Linked DNA regions of Diceros bicornis minor. The protein of the gene in region 1 interacts with the protein of each later gene in a pairwise test. Links are inferred from orthologs where the notes say so. Each region holds a gene or a part of one and is shown on either strand. Other genes may lie near its edges.

Region 1 (11,232 bases):
TTCTAGATATTTTCTTCCCTTCATTCATCTATTTGTTTATTACTATGCCAATAATACACTTTTAAAATGAAACACTTTACTTTGAGATAATTGTAGATTCACATGCAGTCGTGAGAAATAATACAGAGAGATTCCATGTACCTTTTACCCACTTCTTCCAGCGGTTAACACTTGCAAAACCATGATACTGATATAGGCAGGAAGCTAGATATGAGCTGGGAGCAAGGCCACTCCACCAGGTGCCGTGTCCTCATTATTGGGCAGGCACTCCCCTGGACCCTGACTGACATACAGCACTCCCCTGGACCCTGACTGAGAGTAGCCCCAAGCCTCATTATACCCTCATTTGCATTGCGATTTTGACCCCCCTTGTGGGAGATCACCACCATGACAGTTCCAGAGATGCCTATATAAGGAAAAAATCTCCCCCTCCCGACTCGAGAGTGGAGACAATGCCCCGATTGGCACACGTTCCAAGACCCTCACCCACTCCTGGACCCAACATTCCAAAACCACTGACCACCACAACTTTAGTGCAGTTGCTCCCCCTCGAGCCTGTCCGCCCCTCCCCTTGGGAGTGTGCTTTCACTTTGCTAATAAATCTTCCTCTGTTAAAACTGCTATGTGTCCACTCTCAAATTCTTTTGGGTCTGTGGACCAAGAACCTGGGACCCCACCGCACCAATCCGACTGGTGCCAGCAACAATACAATATCACAACTTGGATATCAACATTGATACACTCAAGAGACAGAACATTTTCACCACCACAAGATCCTTCATGATGCCCTTTTAGAGCCACACTCACTTCCTTCCAGACCCCACCCCCTCCTTAACCCCAGGGGGTTACCCACTAATCCATTCTCTGTCAATTTTTGCTTCATATATTTTGGGATCTGTGTTATTAGGTGTGTATATGTTTATAATTGTTACTGAAACTTTTATCAATGTATAACATCCTTCTTTGTCTTTTGTAGCCTTCTAAAAAAATTTAAAGTCTACTTCGTCTGACAATAATATAGCCACCCAGCTCTGTTTTGGTTACTATTTGCATGGAATATCTTTTCTATCCTTTCACCTCACCCTCTTCACGTCCTTATATCTAAAGTGACTCTCTTGTAGACAACATATAGATGGATCATTTTTTTTCACTCTCTTTGCCAATCTCTGTCTTTTAATTGGTGTATTTAGATCATTTAGACCATTTCCTGTGTTCTATAAATTTCTCTCTCAACACTGCTTCATCCTATAAATTTTGATATGTTGTCTTTTTGTTTTCATTTAGTTCAATGTATTTTTAATATTTCTTTGAGACTTCCTCTTTGATATATGGATTATTTAGACATGTGTTGTTTAGTTTCCAAGTGTTTGGAGATTTTCCTGTTATCTTTCTGTTATTGATTTGTAGTTTGAGTCCACTGTGATCGGAGAACACATTCTATATGATTTAAATTCTTTTAAAACTGTTGAGTTTGTTTTATGACTCAGGATGTGGTCTATCTTGGTACATGTTTTGTGGGCACTTGAAAAGAATGTGCATTCTGCTGTTGTCAAGTGGAGTGTTCTATAAATGTCAATTAGAACCTGTTGTTGATTGTTTTGTTAAGTTCTCCTGTATACTTGCTGATTTTCTGTGTAGTCATTCTATCAATTGTTGAGAGAGGGATGTTGAAGTCTCCAATATAATTGTGGATTTGTCTATATCTTTTTTCAGTTATATCAGTTTTTGATTCACATATTTTATACTCTGTTTTTTGGTACATCCACATTCAGGGTTGTTATGTTTTCTTGGTAGATTGACCCTTTCATTATTTCTGTTTTTGGTAATTTTTTTTTGTTTTGAAGTCCACTTTATATGATATTAATATAGCCACTGCTGCTTTCTTTTGATATTTGCATGATATATCTTTTTCCATCCTTTCACTTTCAATCTGCCTATAGTATTACATTTGAGGTATGTTTCTTGTAGACAGCATATAGTTGGATCATATTTTTTTATCCACTCTGCCAATCTCTGTCTTTTAATTGGTATATTTATACCATTTACATTTAATGTAATTACTGATACATTATGGATTAAGTCTACCATTTTATTTTTTGTTTTAAGATTGTTCTCTCTGTTTCTCATTTCTCTGCTTTCTTTTTCCTGCCTTCTTGTAGGCTACTTAAACATTTGTTAGAATTCCATTTTGATTTATCCATAGTGTTTTTGAGTATCTCTCTCTATGGTTTATTTTAGCAGTTATTCTAGTTATTACATTATATATTATGTATATCTTATCATAGTCTACTAATGTTGTCATTTTGCCAGTTAGACTGAAATGTAGAAAACTTACCTCCCTTTATGTCCCTTTACCCTCCCCAATTTTAGTATCATCTTAAATATTTTCTCTATATACATTTAGAACCACATCAGACAGTATTATAATTTTTGTTTCAACCATCAAACATAATATAGAAAACTCAAGAGGAGAAGGAAAGCTTATTGAATTTACTCATATTATGATTATCATGTACTTCCTCCCTTCCTGATGTTCCAAGATTCCTTCTTTTGTAGTTTTCTTTCTGTTTAGAAAACTTCCTTTAGTCATTTTTTTAAGGGTAAGTCTGCTGGTAACAAATTCTCTATTTTCCTTCATCTGAAAATATCTTGATTTACCCTTCATTCTTGAAGGATGTTTTTACTGAACATAGGATTCTGGGATGACAGTTCTTTTCTTTCAGCACTTGGAAAATATGCCATTTCCTTCTGGCCTGCATGGTTCCCGATGAGAAATCCACTGCCATTTGAATCGTTTTTCCCCTATAGGAAAGATGTTATTTCTTTCTCATTACTTTTAAGATTTTTTTCTTTGTCTAGTTTTCAGAAGTTTGACTGTGATACGTCTTTGTGTGGATTTCTTTGATTTTTCCTAATTATAGTTCACTCAGCTTCTTGAATCTATAGGTTTATGTCTTTTGTCAAATTTGGGACACTTTCAGCCATTAATTCTTTGAGTACTTTTTCGACTCTGTCCTCTTTCTTCTCTCCTTCTGGGACTTAGATGATAGGAGTGTTAGATCTTTTGTTATAGTCCTACAGGTCCCTGAGGCTCTATTCATTTTTGTTTTCAGTCTATTTTCTCTCTGTTGTTCATTTGGGTAATTTCTATTTTTCTATCTTCCAGCTCACTGATTTTTTCCTCTATCTCTTCCATTTTGCTGTTGAATGCATCCATTAAGGTTTTTTATTTCTGTTATTATATTTCTCAGTTCTAAAATGTCCATCTGGTTCTTCTTTATGTCTTCTGTTTCTTTGCTGAAATTTTCTATGTCTTTGACGAGGCTTCCTATTTTTTCATTTGTTTTGAGCATGTTTATTGAAGCATTTTTATCATGACTGCCTTAAGATCTTTGTCAGATGGTGTTAATGTGCCTGTCATCTGTGTTGGCACCTACTGATTTTCTTTTTTCATTCAGTTAGAGAACTTCCTGGTTCTTGACACGACAAGTGACTGTCTACTGAAATCTGTACGTTTTGGGTATTGTGTTATGATACTCTGGGTCTTATTTAAACCTTCTGTTTTTAGCTGGCTTCCTCTGACACTGCTCAGACAAGGAAAGGGTTGGCACCCCTCCTTACTGTCAGGTGAAGGTGGAAGTCCAGGTTCTCCACATCATCTCCGCTGACACGGTGGTGGTTCTGGAGGACTACTCTCAGTGGGCATGAACATCCTGATTCCTTATTCAGCCTTTCCTTGACATTACTCCAGTGGCTTGAGAGGAGGGAAAGTCAGTTACCTCCTTACAGCCTGGCAAAGATGGATCTAGATTCCTCACTTGGTTTTTGCTGGCATGTGTGGGGATTAGGCCACAGATATTTTTGGTAGTGTTTGGCTGTAGTAAAGGGACTATTCTCTGAAAAGTTTTCTATATTGCTAAGCTGCCCATTTCCTTATCCTTTAGCTAGAGAGAGCAGGCTTCCATAGGGTTTTTGTTTGTTTGTTTGTTTGTTTGTTTGTGTCTGTTGGTGTTTCCAGGTTGCTGGCTTCTCCAGAACCCAGTCTGGGATATACGGGGCAAAAAGAAAACCCAGAGAACTGACCAATGTGTCATTTTTCAGGTCACAAGGTCCCTATTCTTTTCTCCACCTTTCAGAATCTTCTTATGTTGTTTTATGTATAAGATCCAGGGTTAGTTGTATTTAGCAAGATGAATAGAGAAAATTATGTCTACTCCATCTAGACCATCTGGAAACCATCTACTCCATCTGGAAACCGAACCATCCCCAATAATATATATATATATATATACACATTTTTTTTTGCTGAGGAAGATTCTCCCTGAGCCAATCTTCCTCTATTTTGTATGTGGGTCACCACCACAGCATGGCTGCTGATGAGTGGTGTAGGTCTGCACCTGGGAACTGAACCCAGGCTGCCAAAGCAGAGCACACCAAACTTAACCACTAGGCCATGGGCCCAGCCCCAATAATATACTTTTAATTATTGCAGTTTTATATTATGTTTTGACATTTGGTAGCAACCCCTCCCTTATTAATTTCTTTTTTTTTAATTGTATTGGTTATACTCATGACTTACCTTCCAGATTAACTTTAGACTCAGCACTTCAAATTCCCTTTAAAAAATCCCATTGGGTTTTTGATTGGGATTATATTAAATTTATAAATTAATTAGAGGGAGGTATCTACTGTATTAGAATATTAAGTCATTCCATCTAAGACCAAGATCTCTTTACTTTTTTTTCATGCTGTATGTCATGTCCTTCATTGAAGATTCATAGTTTTCTTGAACACTTCTCGTTAAATTTATTCTGACAGTTACAGGGTTTTTAAAACTGTAAATGTGATATTATTAACTAGCACTTTCTATTGGTAAGAGTCATTGGTTTCTATATATTTATCTTGTATCTGGCCACTGTACTTAATCTTTTCATTAATTCCTTCAGTGGCTATTTTTTTTTTTTTTTCTGTACTAAGCATCTGCTTCCCCCACATTTCTTCTGGTAACAATTACAGGAGTGCATATATAATCCAGTACAAGTCAATCACAGCACCTCATGCTCCTAGATGAAAGGTGGGCACATGACCCAAGACAAACCAGTCAAGACCCTTCCTAGGATTTTTATGGGTGATTTGACAGGGAAGAGGTTTGTTTCTTCTCTGGTCATGGAGTTGTCAGATACAATCCTAGGTACTACTGGTAGCCAATTTTCTCTAATTGCATAGGGAAGCTATTCTAATTTGGAAGATAATGAAGCTGAAACAGAGTATGAAACCAAAACAATTGAGAGAGAGAGAGAGAGAAAGAGAGAGAGCACGCAATATTTGTTCCTTGTTTACAATATACCCCTGCCTTTCCTATCCCATGAGCCAATAAGCCCCCTCTTCTTTAAATTACTTTGAGTGAGGTGGATTTATTTACAACTAAAAGAATCTTGACTGTACAGAACTGGTATCAGGAGTGGGATGTTGTAAGAAACAGAATTTAAAAGGTGAACCTGGCCAGGTGGTGTGGAAAGCAGTGAGAAACCATTCTTTGCAATTTGGGAAGATAATTATCCTCATGGAAATGGATCAGCTGGATTAACCATCTCCTGTTGTACTTTAGAGCTCAGACTGTGTGCCTAATGGCGTTGTAATTATTGGGGATTTGATAGAAAAATGTTAGATATTGAATGTGATATACTACTTGTGATCTTCAGTATGGTGCTACAAGATAACAAAAATCTTTCTTTTAAACTGGACCATAAAAAGAGATTGGATAATTAGCTTTGTTAAGAAAGATCTAGTCTGTTTGTAACCAATGACCTAAGACCACTGAGAGACAATTGTGTGCTACATGTAATTGTAAAAGCTGAATTTAATTTTCTATGCTAAAGTTAGGAGGAGTCAGAGGAAACAATCCATTATAATCATAATCTGTTTGTTTGTTTGTTTTCCATCTCTCTATTCTTCCTCAGGGTTGGATAATTCCCCTCATAGTCCCAAAGCCCTCATGACTGACGGCAGCTCCTGGGGCTACAAGCTTCCTTGTTCAATATCATCAGGAGAAACAAGACCATGCCCCAACATTTTCAGTGAGTCCCATGATTCACTCTGATTGGGCTGCCATAGATCTGGAGCCCATCCCTGAACAATCATTTTGGCTAGGGAGACAGGAACATACTGACTGGCACACCCCTAGATTTGGGGATAGAAAACAATCCCAGATTAAATCTCTTGGCTGAGAATGGGAGGGGGAAAGATGGTTTCCCAAAGGAAATTCAAGGTCTCGGTCCCAGAAAGGATGGTGGGCAAAGAACCCCAGATATCCATATACCAAGGAAGAATCTTAACCTAAGGCCTAGATGGACAGTCAGAGCCCCCAAGCCTGTTGCTAAGAGACAAACCACAAAAGCCAGGTTCAGAATCAGGTTTCATGACTGGGCAAGATTTCCAGCATTGGTTACTTGCACATGGCATCCCTAGGAATGGAAATGGCAGACAGCCAACTAGGATTTAAGGCAGTTGTGTCACCAGAGAAATCCCAAGCCTGGCAAACACGGGCCTCCGATTGCTCAACTCTGAGATAATTCCAACTCTAACTATGCCAGTGGGAAGTGGGGCACTTGAGCAGGACACCTCCCAAGAGGGGACTTCCCTTTAAATTCCTCTTGGGTCTGGCCATGGACGAGATAAATCCAGGCAGTGGCCAAAATCAGGGGCAATCAGACTTGCTAAGACACACCTGATTTCACTGCCAAGGAAGTGAGTCCTTGTAGGTCCTGCCTTCTGCCTGTGGTATTTTCCAGACTGTGGACCACTGTCTGGTATTTTCCCTTGTCCACTTTCTTTTAAAAAATATACTTAAAATTTTTTTTACAAAAATAATAAGTACTCATTTTTATAACACCAAATAATATAAAAAGTTATAAAATGAAACTTTAGTCTGTTCCTAGACCCTCCCCTATTGGATCCACTCCTCCCCCCTGGAGGGTTACACTATTAAGAGTTAGGTACGCATCCTTCAGAGGTTGTCCTATGTATGTACCTACAAGTACAAACATACATCTAAACTGTGCAAGACAGTCAAATTGAAAAATTAAAGTCTTCCTCCATCAATCTGACGCCCATCCCCCAGAAGTAATCATTTTCAACCATTTCTCTTTTTAGCCTTCCTGACAATACTTCCATAATGCCAGAAAATATGCTAATATCTCTAATTCATCGTTTCAACAATATCTCCTGACTCGCTGCAATGAAAGATAACGAGTTTAGCTTGCTTTCACTGCGTCCCTTCTTTCCCTAATCCCTGCCAGTCACATATTTACTTACCCTTTCTATTATTTAATTTTAGGACTTTAAATAACATATTTAAACATCTATTTCCTGACTTCTCTTCAGATTGTTGCCTGTACAAAAAGGACTTTATTTTATTCTCGTACCTGATTGCTATTTTGGCTGGGTATAATCTCCCATCAACATCAGTTAGGATTAAGTACAGTGTAAATAAGGGACCCAAAACAGCAGTGGCTCGAAGTTGAAGTTTATTTTCTTTCTCATGTAGAAGATTGCAGGGGACTGGGCTCCTTCCAGTTTTCTACTCTGCCACACTTAGGATGTGGTCCTTGTCTTCACGGCCCAAGATGGTGGCCTCATATTGGCTTCCAGGCAGCAGGACGGATGGAGGAAGGTGCAAAGAAGGAAGGGACAGTCACATGGCCACACTTAGCTTTAAGGGAGGCTGGAAATGTAGCCTTGCTTTTGGATGGCTACGTGCCCAGCCAAAGACCCAAGGTTCTATTACTAAGGAAGAATGGGGGACAGACGCTGGGGACACTAGCAGTCTTGCCACTCCCTCTGCCCTTTGCAGGCTTGCTCACCTTCTTCTTGTCGGGATTGTCGGTGAGACATCTGATGACAATCTGATTTTCATTTCTTTGTACGTAATCTGTTCTTTCCCCTGGAAGATTTCACATGAGAGAGAATTACATGTGCAGAAACCTTGGGGCCCGAGAATACAAATCATTTGCTCACAGTGCTGTGACTTGAGATTGTCCTTTTCTGACTCCTTCCTTCCTGTGCCCTCTGCGTTCACCCACTCAACCAATGTGGGTGCTCTCCAGCTGTGTACCTTCGGCCTTCCTCTCACTCTCCCTGAGTGACAGCATCCTCCCATGGCTTTGGCTGCCGCCCACGGGGTTGAATTCCAAATTTATCTCCACAGCTTACATCTCTTTCTCAACCTCGAGATCCAAAACAATCCAGTCATCTACTGGTATCACCACCTGACTGACCCACAGGCTGCCCGAGCTCCTCACGTGCCAGTCTGAGCTCTCCAGTTCCTCTCACCTCACTGCACAGCAATTCGCCCCTTTGCCCAAGGCAGAAACCCACAATTTCTGACCGGTCTACACCTCTATATGTTGCTTCCTCTCCCTGAACTTCCCTCTTCCTTTCTTCCCTTGATTAATTCTCATTCATCTTTCATAACTCTGTTGAGGGGTAACGTTTTTGGCAAAGTGTTTCCTGGTTTGGTTCTGCCTCAGTCTGGGTTGGGTGGCCCTCTCTTGGGTTCCCAAGCTAGCTGGAGAGTCCCCGTATCCCATCACCACTGCGACACTTTCTGATCTTCTGCACCCTCGTCTGGACTGTGAGCTATTTGATGGTAGAGATGGGGTCTTATCTCTGAATCCCCAGCATCTGGTAGAGCATTTGGCACATAGAAGTGGCAGCTTCAGAGCTTGCTGCGCCGTTCCCCAGTCACAGCCTCCGTGCCTTGCTCTACTCCAGCGCGGCAAAAATCTCCAGCCCTACAGAGACTGCGGTGCAAGTCTCTGATTACTGTTTTCCAGAGATATGCTGCAAAGGACAGGAACAGCAGCAAACTCTCCAAGACCGAGTTCCCAGCCTTCGTGAACAGAGAACTGGCTGCCTTCACAAAGAACCAGAAGGACCCTGGTGTCCTTGACTGCGGGATGAAGAAACTGGACCTCAACTGTGATGGGCGGCTAGATCTCCAAGAATTTCTTAATCATATTGGGGGCTTGGCCACAGCTTGCCATGAATCCTTTATCAAGTCTACTTATTCCCAGAGTAAATCTCAGGAGCCCTTGGGCCTGGCCTCCATACCCGCCCACCTCTTTTCCTTCCAGCCTCCCAACCATCATCTACTCCTCACAGCCCACACATACCCTGAGCCCAGCACACCCGCCACCCCATGCCAGCCACTCCTGCTGCTGTTAATAAAACAATATCGTTTTTTAACACACACACACACACACACACACACACACACACACACACAAAAGGGGCAGCTTCCATTTTTTGCTGTCCAGCTCATTTCCCATACACCTCCTGATAACTGCAACCCCGTTTCTTTGGGGGACTTCCTCCTTCACTCCACGTGGTCCTGAGGAGCTGGGAATTGGGGTGCTCTCTCTGCTTCTGCCTCCTCTACAGATATGGACATGTGATCCAGGCTGGATTAATCACAGTCTACCATGTCATTAATCACAGTGATTAGACCAACGAGTATCAGTGACCAAGAAGGACCAATCAGACTCTTCCTTGGGATTAACATATAGACATGGGAGGGAGGGCCTCTCCACGCTGGGATTGCTAGTTGAGAGGATATGTTGGGATTGCTAGTTGAGATGGTATGTTTGGATTGCTAGTTGAGAGGATATGTTGGGAGTGCTTGCTGAGATGAGGCACAGAGCTGTGGGTGGCTATCTCCCCTCCACGTGAAGGAAGTCTCTCTGCAGAACAGAGACAAGCGGAGATAAAACATGGGCAGAGAGGGAATTCTGGTGGCCTTGAGTCCCGAGTTCCAGTTCTCTTGGCTCCTATTGTTCTTCCTTCACTCCTTTAGGCTCTCACAGTCCCTCCCCAGGTGCATGAACCAACAAATTCTCTTTCTGTTTAAGTTGGTTTGAGTGGGGGCCGGCCCCGTGGCTTAGTGGTTAAGTGCGTGCACTCCGCTGTTGGCGGCCCGGGTTCGGATCCCGGGCACGCACCTACGCACCACTTCTCCAGCCATGCTGAGGCCGTGTCCCACATACAGCAACCAGAAGGATGTGCAACTATGACATACAACTGTCTACTGGGGCTTTGGGGGAAAAAAATAAATAAAATTATAAGTCAGTTTGAGCGGGTTTCTACCTCTGTAACTGAAAGAGTTCTGACTAACGGAGAACTCTGTAAAGTTTAATGACAACATTAAGAAACTAAGTGAGCCATCTCCAGTGCCTCTCTTCCCCTCGCTCCCTCTGAGCACGGCAAGATGCCTCACCTATGCTCTTTGGAGAGGTTGATACCATCGCTTGCTTTCACTTATGGTGTCAAGTCTGAACTCTTCAGTTTGGCAAGTGAGACCTTTCTGATCTGATCCCAACTTTCCCAGCCAATCTCCTGCCCTCTTCCCAGGCAGCCTCTGTGTCAGCCAGATAAATGCTCACATTTCTCTGAATTTGTCCTGTTCTTTCGGACTGCTGCATCTCTGCACGAGCCTCAACCTGGAATGCTCTTCTCCCTCCCACCCCTCCATGAATCCCAATCCACCCTCCAAGACCAATCCCAAGTGGCACCTCCTTCAAAGCCTTCCTGCCCTACCCAAGCAGAGTCTAGCCTCCTTTTCTGCAACATCACCTCTGTTGTACACTGAGTGCCCATCACACTGAACTGCAATTATGGTTGACTCATCTGTCCTTCCTCTACTAGACAGGGTTCCCTAAAGGCAGAGAGCTGCTCTTTATCCACCTCTGTATCCCCGTCTCCCAACACCCACAGCAGAGTGTTAACGAACACGTGGTGAGTGAGTGGAGGTTTTAGGAACAGGCTTCATTTCCTCATCTGTAAAAGGGTAGAAAAGGAGTTCTTCTGACCGACACTCCCCCAGGTTTCAGGTTTCAGAAGAGAGGCAAGTCTTGTGACCCTCGCCAGGACACTCCTCCATGCAGAGAGGTGGAGAGTGGGAAGGCAGTGTGGATGCCACCTGACTGGCCTGTGTCTACACTGGCTTCTAGTTGTTAGTGATGGGAGAACTTAGAGAATTGCCTTAGGGAACTCTGACTCTCCCTGAGATTCTCAGAGCTTTGAGTAGCCCTGCCCCCCTCTCACTTTCCACCGCACAAAAGTGATAGAAAGAACCAATAAGGTAAAAAAAAAGGGGGGGGGGTTCTTAGAAATCTCCTGACCCTCTATTCATGTGGCAGGACAGATTCATCCCCGGGAGGTGTGGGGCGAGCTTTG
Region 2 (10,806 bases), on another chromosome or scaffold:
GGTTGAGGGGAAGGATATAATGATGATCTTCAAGTACTTAAAGAGCTCTTGTGGAATCAGGCTAATTCCATTCTGCAAGACTACAGGGGTCAAAATGTAGAGCAGATGTGCTGGGAGCCTACCCCATGCCAGGCCCTTTGCAATAGCTGGATGTTATAAAGGCAGTAGATTTCTGAGTAAATTTAACAAAACTGGGAAGGGGGTGGGTATTCCCTCACTTGAGTCCAAGGAAAGGTTATCCATATTTCCAAATCTGTCTGCACCGTAGGGTCTAATTTAATTGGTTTGGGGTAGAGCCTAAGCTCAGGATTTTTGCAAAGCTCCCCAGCTATTTAAAATGGGCACTACTAATGTGAACAAGAAAATGCAAACGGATTCAAACTGGATATGTATACTGGCTAGAAACCAAGTGGAGAACGCACTCATGTTCCAATACTAAACTCTCCTGAACTCTGGAAGCAGACTTTGAAGCTTGAAGAAATGAAAACTTAGAAATGAAGTCACTATCTCAGAAGACATTGACAGGCTTATGTGTATGAATCAAGCTTTCAGTTGCTGTGGCTGATACTGCTTCAGTCTTTAGGGATGTCTTTCATTTTTGAACTTCTATACACTTACAGTTTCATAATAGAATTTGACATTGATTTCATACTGTCTGCACTATCTATTTAATGTAGGTGAATCTTAGCATAAAAATAATAAAAACTACCAAGTCAGCTTTCATTTGTTGAAAGTCTATTGGGACAAACACTTTTTACATATCTTATTTCATCTTCTCAACAGTCCTATAAATTAAATTTTCTTATATTCATTTTATATATGAGGAAATTGTGGCTGAGAGAAGTCAAGTGACCTGCTCAAATTGAACAGCTAATAAGTAGCACAATTGAGACTTGAAGCCAGATTTGTCTGATTCCAATGTATGTGTCTTTACCCAGTGTGTTAGTCAGGGGTCTCCAGAGAAATAGAGCCAATAGGAAGAGATTTATTATGAGGAATCAGCTTGGGTGATTATGGAGGCTGAGAAGTCCCATGATCTGCTGTCTTTAAGTTGGAGACCCAGGAAAGTTGGTGATGGTACAATTCCAGTCTGAGTCCCAAGGCCTGAGAAGAAGGGGAGCTGATAGTGCAAATACCAGTCCAAGGGCAGGAGAAGACCCATGTCCCAGCACAAGTACTCAGGCAGGATGCAAAAGGGGCAAATTCCTCCTTCCTCCACCTTTTTGTTCTATTCAAGCCCTCATGGATTGGATGATGCCCATTCACATTGAGGAGGGCAATCTACTTTCCTGAGTCCACCAATTCAAAAGCTAATTCCAAAAACACCCTCACAGGCATACCTAGAAATAATATTTAATCTGGGCACCCTTTGGCTCAAACTGACATATAACATTAACCATCACACCCAGCATACAAAGATATGAGGTCATTCAGGTCAGGGAACTTGTTTCTGATTTCCTTTATGATTGGGGAAAGTAAGGCTATATGACATTTTCTTGGCTAAGCATTATCACAGGGAGCCATCATAAGCAAACAAGCTTGTCTGAGAAAATTTTAATTGTGTAACAATGATAGCCTAAATATAAAAGATTGTGATTCAATTTTAATAATATAGAGAGCATCAAACATTTGTTGAAATGGCAGAACTACAGCAGAACTCATGCCATAGTTCTTCTAATGAATGTATGGTCTATAAAATTGCATAAACATTCTCTTCAGAGTACTTTAAACTTGACCACCAAAAGCAAACTAGAGTCAGATTATCTTCTTCAAGACCACTTCCTCCCTCTAGTGACCAGAAATGGGAATACCATATTCACAAGCATTTGAAAAACTGATTCTCAACGTGTATGTGTACCTCCCTCTAGAGAGTGTTTGGGAAATTTGCCAGAGTTATTTTGGTTATTACAATGAATGTGGGTGCTCTTGGCATTCCTTAGGGGCATTAGGAATGCTAGACATCTGGCAATGTGAGGGACAATGCCCCACATAAAACGATTATCCAGCGCTAAACATTCATGCAGATGAAAAATCTATTAGTATTAAAGCCTAGAACCCAGCACTATTTTACATATGAAAACAAAGGTTTTTTGCACTTTTTTTATACACTGCATTTTTGAAAGAAACTTCTTATTTCATCTACTCCAAATCACTGATTGCAAGATACATCATTACCTAACACTAAAAATGAAAACAATGTCAATTAAACTCCAACACAAAGCTTTTAATATGCAGAAATTTTATTTATCAACAACACAGTGAAAAGGCAACCTATGGAATGGGAGAAAATATGTGCAAACCATATATCTGAAAAGAGGTTAATCTCCAAAATATCTAAGGAACTAGTGATTCTATAGGCATAGCCGTCTAGCTACTTTATCATGTCATTTAGTGTAGGCATGCCCAAGCATTTACAAATTCGAATAGATATTTTAAGAATTATTTTATTTTTATTTCTCCTTAAATTACCACTAAGAAGTTATACTGATTTTTTTTTTAAATTGTGCATGATGGTATACTATTTTGAATTTCAAGAAAGAAAAAAGAAGTCATAAAACATTTATTATAAGAAGGAATGTTATATCTGATGGATTGAGAACTGTTGACTTAAGGCATTAAAGCGAAGGTCATGAATTCTTGTTTCTCCCTTTAGTAACTGGGCACTGCCCCAACAACTGTCACTATCTTTGTGGCTGGGGAGAGGGGAATAGGATGAAGAGGGGAATAGAGGAAAGAGAAAATTTAACATTAAATTGGGGTGGGTGGTCATATGGCCTTATTTCTAAGAAAGCACCTTCTCATTTTATATGTTGTGTAGGGTTGTAGAATCATATAATAAAGGAGTGCACAGGTTCTTGAGTCAGATTAAAACTGGGTTCAGATTGAGGCTCCTTCACTGCTGTGTGACCTTGGATAAGCGACTCAATTTCTCTTTGCTGCAGTTCCTTCTGAGGTAAAGTAAAATGGAGGTCATAATATTATCACCTCATAGGGTTGTGAGGATTAAATGAGATAACACATTTAAGTGTGTAGGTGTCTGGTGTATAGAAGACACTAAATAAATGTAAGCTATAATGAATATATAACCAGAAACCATATCATTCTGAAAAACAAACTTGCTATTCAAAAGAGTAACAATAGGTGATATTTCATAAATTTTTCAGTATTTACTGTACACTTTAGTAAAGTCACTCCTATTTGACTATATTAATTTATGTTTGAACTTCTGTTAAACTCCTTGTCCTGTAGCAAATGAAAATTACCTCTTAGATTTTCATGGCATTTTCTATGGATATTTTTCCATAGAACCATAACTTATTGATGTATATTTTTCTGTGTAGTGAGGTTTATTGCCAACTGCCAACAGAACAGGCTCTGTTGTATACAAAAAAATTCTATATTCCAATACGTAAAAAACATAAAATACGATTCATAGCTATAAAACATTTATCCACCCAACTCAAAATGAATACTTATACTACTCAAACTCATATTATTCGTTTCAGTAAAACTTTTTAAAATTGTCATTTAAATCAAATCATCAGGTTTCACTGAAATCTTCTATGAAAGAGTCACTGGGCTGGCTATACTACAGTAGATGCTAAGGAAGAAGAAGCCACTATACAGCCATCCTTGTCTAGCTGGGATGAGGAGACTGATCTGCATGAAACAACCAAGCAAGTTAAAGAGAGAAGATAGATAAGTACTAAATTGGATGGCAAGGATCATAAGAGCCACAGAAATTCAGAGGACTATCAGAACGGTAAGGTGGTTAAGGAAGGTTATACATAGAAGATGGGAGGAGGCAATCTGCCAATTAATGTATGTCCGACCATGAGTGAGTTAACTTCTCTGTGCTTCCTGGGTCCTTGTTTATGAAATTAATGCATTTAAAATGCCTAGTGCAATCAACATGATGTAGGCTTGAATGGACTTTTAAAAAATGGGAAGGCTGTTATTAGTAATCCTGTAAATGATTCCATTTACAGAAATAATCAAAGCTAGAGACAGGGATGTTTCAAGCAGTGGAAATATAAATCTTTTAAAAATTTTGGTATACACAAGGGAAAAAAAGTTCACAGATAGCAGCTTTATGTAATTTTCTAATTTTCTGTTGCAAATAGCAAACTCTTTTTTTCCTGTATGGCAAAGTAACTTTCATTCAGCATTTGCTTCTTCTCTGCATCTTGGCTCAGGTTAGAATCTAAGAGAATTCATCCTTCAACAGTGCCAAGATTCTTTAGAAAAAGAAACAAGGCAGAATAGTGTCAAAGAACAACTCCAAGTCACAAAATCACTTAATTATAGCACACTGTTTACTTTTTTACAAGGAGGATAAATCAATAGATTGATTTCATCCCACAAAGGCAAAAAACAGGATTTATTAAAAGAAAGAGGAAAGAGAAGAGAGAAAAAATGAATTCTGGGAAGAGTGAATCTTATTTGCACAATTTTTTATGGAATAACTGATTAGCTGGCAGCAGTCAATCTGGACAGTCAGTCCTTGAGTATGCTGACTAGAGGTACAAAAATATCTTAATTCTTTATGAATTCTCTGGAAAACCTTTGTGAACTAAACTATAAAGCTGTATGACAGACTGTTTCTCTGTAACGTCTGCCAGAGTCTTTCCATCAACACCTCATTCTTAGTTGGACCAGGTCTGCACATGTTCCCTCACTAGAAGTCTCAGTATACCTGATGCTTTTCTGTAAATCGTTTTTCCCTAAATCCTTACTTCTCACTGGATCCTCTTCTGAGCCCTTATTTGAAAGTGATCATAATCTGGGGGGCTCTGTACCGGAGTTTCTATTACAAAGAGTTATAATCAATCATTTTCTAATATGAATTTAAGACATTAGACAAAAACACACAAAATTTAAGTTTTCCCTCGTTCTTGCATTTTTGTAAGGATTAACATTAGTATTTTCACACCACAACAAACAACAGATAATAGTGACATCACTATCAAATGAATCGTATGAGTTGACTGACTTGAATAGAAAATAACTTTTTCTTACTTTTTAAGTAAATATTTTAATACTAACATTTTAAATGTTACTTAAAATATTTTAATTAAGACAATTAATAGCTCCAGTGCCTGCAAACAGTTGACTATTGCTTCTGTCCTGCAGTGAATTATCACAGAAGCAAATTCTGGCAAATATTTGCTGGCTTCATGCCCACAGGCATTATGAAGCAGGAACTCTTTTTAGATTAAGACTATAACCTGAGGTTAGGCAATATATAATGTGCATAATTTTAGAAATTAAAATCTCCTGAGATTACATATCTTCCAGTAATGCTTAAAGGCGAAATTTGCGCACTGCCGCGTGTGTGGGTCACCTCTGAGTAAGGAAAATACACTTTGCTATTTATATCATTTAAAAGTGACGAAGAAATATTGTCCAACTGCTTCGTAGGTGTTGGCCAAAGTATATAAACTTTAAAATCTCCACGGCAAATTGAAATAACCCTTTATTATGCCTTGCTAGGATGAGAGACGTTTCCCTCTCAGCTGCGCCTAATTTTTTAAATCATCACACAGCAACTTTTTACCTTTCTTAAAAATCAAACTCTGCTCATCTCTATTCTTTGGTAACACCCATGAATCCGTACATTAAAGAAAAACGGCATGTGGATTGTTGAATCCTCTTATAAATGGAAGCCCTATGAGCTGACTTGAATAGACAATAGCTAACCTCTCCTACTTTTTAAGTAAATATTTTAAGAGACAATAGCTTAGGTGCCTTAGAAATTCTTTCAGAGACTTAGAAATCCATATTAACACCGTTCTCACACGCTTGGGTTTGGTCTGCAAACATCAGTAAGCCAAACCTTCTCCAGGCTACGAAATCCACAGCATTCTGGAACTCGAAGACAAAGGAATACCCTTCACTGACCCGTGTAATCACAGGGCGCAGCGAGTTCTCGCGTGACGTTAAGACGCTACAGCCCTGACGTCACCGGTTACCATGGCAGCATCCTCCAGAGTGGAAAAGAGGGGTGGTGCGAGGGGCGGGGCGCGGCTTCTGCGGAGGACAAGGGAAGCTTTCCTCCTGCAGGTCTGACTTCTCCAAAATGAGCAGCCTGGATGAGGGCGGCAACCTCCCTGTCGCTGAAACCTGCGGCCTCGCTACTCCGGACCATGCCCCGGGACATCGGGACCTGAACCAGTGCGAGGGCGAGGAAACCGAGGCGACACAGGTGATGGCGGGCACAGGTGAGGGCGGCCTGGAGCCCACCGCGGAGGGAGGCGCTCCCCGGGACCCCGTGGGTTATGGCCCCGCGCTCCGCATTCGAGTTGCCTGCAGTCGCGGCCGTGCAGCGACCAAAGCGGGCCGGAAAGAGACCCCGCCTCCCACGGAGGGTCTGGAAGCAGCCTCTGCCTCCGCCTCGGGGGCAACCGACAATAGCCAGGAAAATGGCTGTCAGCGTAGAGAGCCGCGCGGCCCTGCTGGGGAGAAAGCTCTAGAAGCCTGTGGCGCAGGGGAATTGGGGTCTCAGATGATGCCTGGGGCGAAGGCCAAGGAAATGACAAAAAAGTGCGTCGTTTCAGCGGCTGCGGAAAAGGAGGGAGTAGCGGAGGAAGTGGTGGAGGAAAAGAAGGTGATACAGAAGGAAAAAAAGGTGGTAGGAGGAGTGAAAGAGGAGACACGGGCCAGGGCCCCGAAGATCAATAACTGCATGGACTCGCTGGAGGCCATCGATCAGGAGCTGTCAAATGTAAATGCCCAGGCTGACAGGGCCTTCCTTCAGCTGGAGCGCAAGTTTGGCCGCATGCGAAGGCTCCATATGCAGCGCAGAAGTTTCATTATCCAAAATATCCCCGGTTTCTGGGTCACCGCCTTTCGGAACCACCCCCAGCTGTCACCAATGATCAGTGGCCAAGATGAAGACATGATGAGGTACATGATCAATTTGGAGGTGGAGGAGCTTAAACAACCCAGAGCAGGCTGCAAATTCAAGTTCATCTTTCAGAGCAACCCCTACTTCCGAAATGAGGGGCTGGTCAAGGAATATGAGCGCAGATCCTCTGGCCGGGTGGTCTCTCTCGCCACCCCAATTCGCTGGCACCGGGGCCAAGACCCCCAGGCCCATATCCACAGGAACCGGGAAGGGAACACTATCCCCAGCTTCTTCAATTGGTTCTCAGACCACAGCCTCCTCGAATTCGACAGGATTGCCGAGATTATCAAAGCAGAACTGTGGCCCAATCCCCTGCAGTATTACCTGATGGGTGAAGGGCCCCGCAGAGGAATTCGAGACCCAGCAAGGCAGCCAGTGGAGAGCCCCAGGTCTTTCAGGTTCCAGTCCGGCTGACTCCTGCCCATGGGAGAATCTTGCACACGAGTTTCCTTGCCACCTCCTGTTGGACCTGTGCTTAGCCAACAGCATGCAGTCTTCTATCTGCTTTCTCTTCACACTGCGTTATTTGGTTCTTTGGTTCTTCTAAATCTTCAACAATCACTGCTGGCAAGATTGTCGCTTGTATGCTTATTCTCTTCTTCCTCTGGGCCTGCATGCTGTTCTGCATCGTGTTACATGTTCCAAGTGCCTGGCCTTCCACTGCCTCCATGCCAAGCACGTGATGCTGTAGATACGCGCTGCCTTCCTTGGCATGCCTTGGGCCCTGTCTGTGACCATGCTCTTCTCCCAGTTATTTAAGTGCTTATCGGCCACAAAGAAGCTTGATATATCTTTGCAAATAACTAGCTGGGCATCGTGCTTTATGCTGGCTGTCCTCCTGATACCAGTGTACTCTATGACAAGCTCTTTGAGTTTCACTGCTGCAAGATGAAGCTGATGTAGGTGATGCCAGCCATCAATCCAAACTGGACATTCCAGGCTACCACTAACTGGTTCTCAGCTGTCTTCCTGGGCTGGTGCCATCCACCCTGCTGATTATCTGGCAGAATAAGCAGGTGGCTGGTGGGTGGCTATTAGGCATGAATGAGGTAACAGATGAGAGGTGTTCTGTGTTCTCACTTTGGTCTTATTATGCCTTTGGTCACTCTGCATTGTGACCAGGTACTGGTGAGTATGAAGGCCTGTGCTATGGCCCACCCAAACCTGCTCTCAGCCTTCTGGATGAGCTTTGCACAGGCACCATGCCTGCCTCCTTAGGAACTATCTGTGGACTTAAGTTCCTAAGCAGCACATAGGGACACCACCGCCCCCCACCCCCCGCCCCAAACCCAATGGCTGTTAGGCAGGTTGGGCAGTCATATGTGACAGTGCCCAAAACAAGGCTGGTATGTGGGTCCTTTCTAGCAGTTGGCCTTTCTGAGCCCTAGCCAACAAACCACCTAGGCACCTTTGTTGGGCATCCCCCTCCTAAGCCCTCCTGCATCCATTCTGAACATGACAAAGTCGCCAGTGTGGAGGCACTGGGGAAGAGGTATTTCTGATCTGTGGAGCCTGTTATGGACCTGTCTCTGTCTGCCTCTCTCTGTCTTTGTCTCTTTCACCCTCTGCCTCCCTCCGTCCTTCCCCTGTTCTCTTTCCCTCCTCCCTCCCTCTGAAGCAGTTACAGCTCAGAAACAGAAAACAAAACTGGCAAAGCAGGCTTTTTGTTTAATTTGCTCTGTCCTTGATTGTGTCCAGAGGGAGAAAGCTACTGTATGATAGACACCAGATCTCTTACTGCCCTCATACCTCCACCCCACTTCCTTTAGCAAGGTCTAAACGTTTCAAAGGGAGATCTGTAGGTAATTGCTTAGTGATGGGAAGTGATTTTTTGGGGCCAACTTGGACAACCCCACCCTTTTTCCCTATCCATTCACCAAAACCTTCTGTGTGTTTCTTGAGCTTTAGTTTGAGAAGCTGGGAGGAGAGACAGAAGGGCCTCACAGTGATGGGTTCAAGACAGACCCAGAGCAGGTTTTGATCTAAAGCAACCAAAACTTAGTTTTACTCCACTTTTCTAAACATGGAAATTCTTTTTTGGGCCTTGGACCACTTAGAAATAACCCAAGACAGCATTTTGAGGGTCAACCCTGTCCTTTGTACTATTCAGTTACCACCCTGATGTGCCAGGGGCTTCCACCCTACTGCCTGGCCTTGGCTCTCAGTCTTCAGCTTCCCCATATCCTTCCCTGCTTCTGTCCTAACAAAGGAGGGAGCAGGCTGCAGTCTGCATTGTGGGAGATGCCAAGCCTTCCTCTTACGAGGTAAGGGGATGTGTGGAGTCTGGATTTCCAGGACAAGTTCCAGTAGGTGGGACAGCAGTGCTGTCAGGGCTCTCCTATTTATGGAGATGTATGGTCGTTATGACTATCCACCCTTATCCTTTCTCCTTTCTTTTTGAAGGCCTGAGCTCCCCGAGGGCAGCTCCACAGAGCAGTGTGTGTGTGGGGGGTCGGTGCTTTAGGCTGGGGAAACTGAAAGCCCAGAAACAAAAATGAGCTTGCTGTGGAGTGGGCTTGGAAAGGCAGACAGGAAAGACTGGAACCCTACAGGGTCTGGGGTGGGAGGGGAGACCCCTGAGGCTTTTCCCGGAAGAGGTGGGTTAACATTTCAAGAGGATGCTTGGAGGAGTTAGGTTTTCCTCCAGTTTTTCCTAACTCCTCGAATTCACCAGTAGATTTTTGTACACAAAAGTGCAAGTCTGGATGTTTTCTTTCTATTATATGTGGAAGATTAATGGTATATGTCCTTATTTCACTGTGTTTAAGTAAAATCCTTTTAATTCCTTTCTCCTTTTTTGCTTGCTGGCAAGATTGACATTTACAGGCCTGCTTTTTGCTTGTAATTGAGAATGTGTGCAAAAATATCAAACTTGTTTCCTGTGCAGTGTGAAGACTTCTGCGAACATTCAATAATATATCAGCTTGTTCCGGTCTCTCTTCATATATAGCTCTATTCTTAGAAATATAATTTGAATGTGATCTTTGAAATTTTGCAAATTGTTGCTGTCTCATGAAAGAAATCTCAAAAACATAACTGTTGTCTTACTTGATATTTCTTGCTCTAGCAGTAATGTTGTACTTGACATTTTATGTTCCCAACCAGTGTAAGTACTTGTAGAATTGTTCTGTAGAATTGCTCTGGCAGACTAAACAAGGATTATTAGTGCTTTAGTCTTCTCCTGTGTGCGAAGGAAAAGTAAAATCTGTCACTCTGCTGTATTTCTTGTTTTGACCAAAAAATAAAAATAAAGTTCTGTCTGTGTTGTTTAGGCTAATAAAAGGTGGAGAAATCATTAAAGTTATCAAATTGTGACAGTAAGCATCATCCTGAAGCTTAAAAAAAGGAACAGCCACCAAACCTCCAAAATTTTTTGCTTGGATAGTGGTAAATAAGCCCAACTAAAATTGCATCCTCATGAACATAATTTTTAATTAAAGCACCATATATTGATTTTTGTCACTTACCTGTTTTCAGTGGAAAACTATTCATGCACCATCCTTGTTTACTCCATTTATGTTAACTATGTCCCCTGTTGGTCTCATTCTTAGTGAGCCTAAGATAGACTGTTGGAAAATTAATCATTGTGCATTCTGTAAGTGCTACTTAAATTCTTTTCCTACAACAGTGTAGTGCTTTTTTACAAAAAATATGACTGAAATGTCTAGAAATAAATGATATCAGACATCACAACTTTAATTACCAGTATGTTCTGCTATTCAGCAGCTATTACACGAAGGTTTGGGAGATAAATACTTCTGCATTCTCTGCAGTGGAGAGGGCTATGGATGCGGCAAGAGCTGTGAAACTGAATGACCAACTTTTTTTAACCATTTAACAAAAATTTGATATAATGGCCCAAAATTACTGATTTGAGGTAGAGATTGTTAAATATAGGT

The links.
Region 2: the proteins of CDK5RAP3 (region 1) and TSPYL4 interact in binary tests that used the Homo sapiens proteins (3 or more experiments, as listed by UniProt). The two-hybrid records come from large-scale screens. The link is inferred for Diceros bicornis minor from reciprocal best matches to the Homo sapiens genes CDK5RAP3 and TSPYL4.

What each region holds. Positions count from the first base shown.
Region 1 is NC_080757.1:38,082,069-38,093,300, reverse strand, and holds the start of CDK5RAP3 (CDK5 regulatory subunit-associated protein 3), read left to right. Parts: upstream 1-6,241; 5' UTR 6,242-6,244; coding exon 6,245-6,247; intron 6,248-8,156; exon of another isoform or gene 8,157-8,257; intron 8,258-8,742; exon of another isoform or gene 8,743-9,096; intron 9,097-9,441; exon of another isoform or gene 9,442-9,455; intron 9,456-11,232. UniProt on the Homo sapiens protein: Substrate adapter of E3 ligase complexes mediating ufmylation, the covalent attachment of the ubiquitin-like modifier UFM1 to substrate proteins, and which is involved in various processes, such as ribosome recycling and reticulophagy (also called ER-phagy).
Region 2 is NC_080762.1:19,894,490-19,905,295, forward strand, and holds TSPYL4 (testis-specific Y-encoded-like protein 4), read left to right. Parts: upstream 1-6,024; 5' UTR 6,025-6,079; coding exon 6,080-7,321; 3' UTR 7,322-9,351; downstream 9,352-10,806.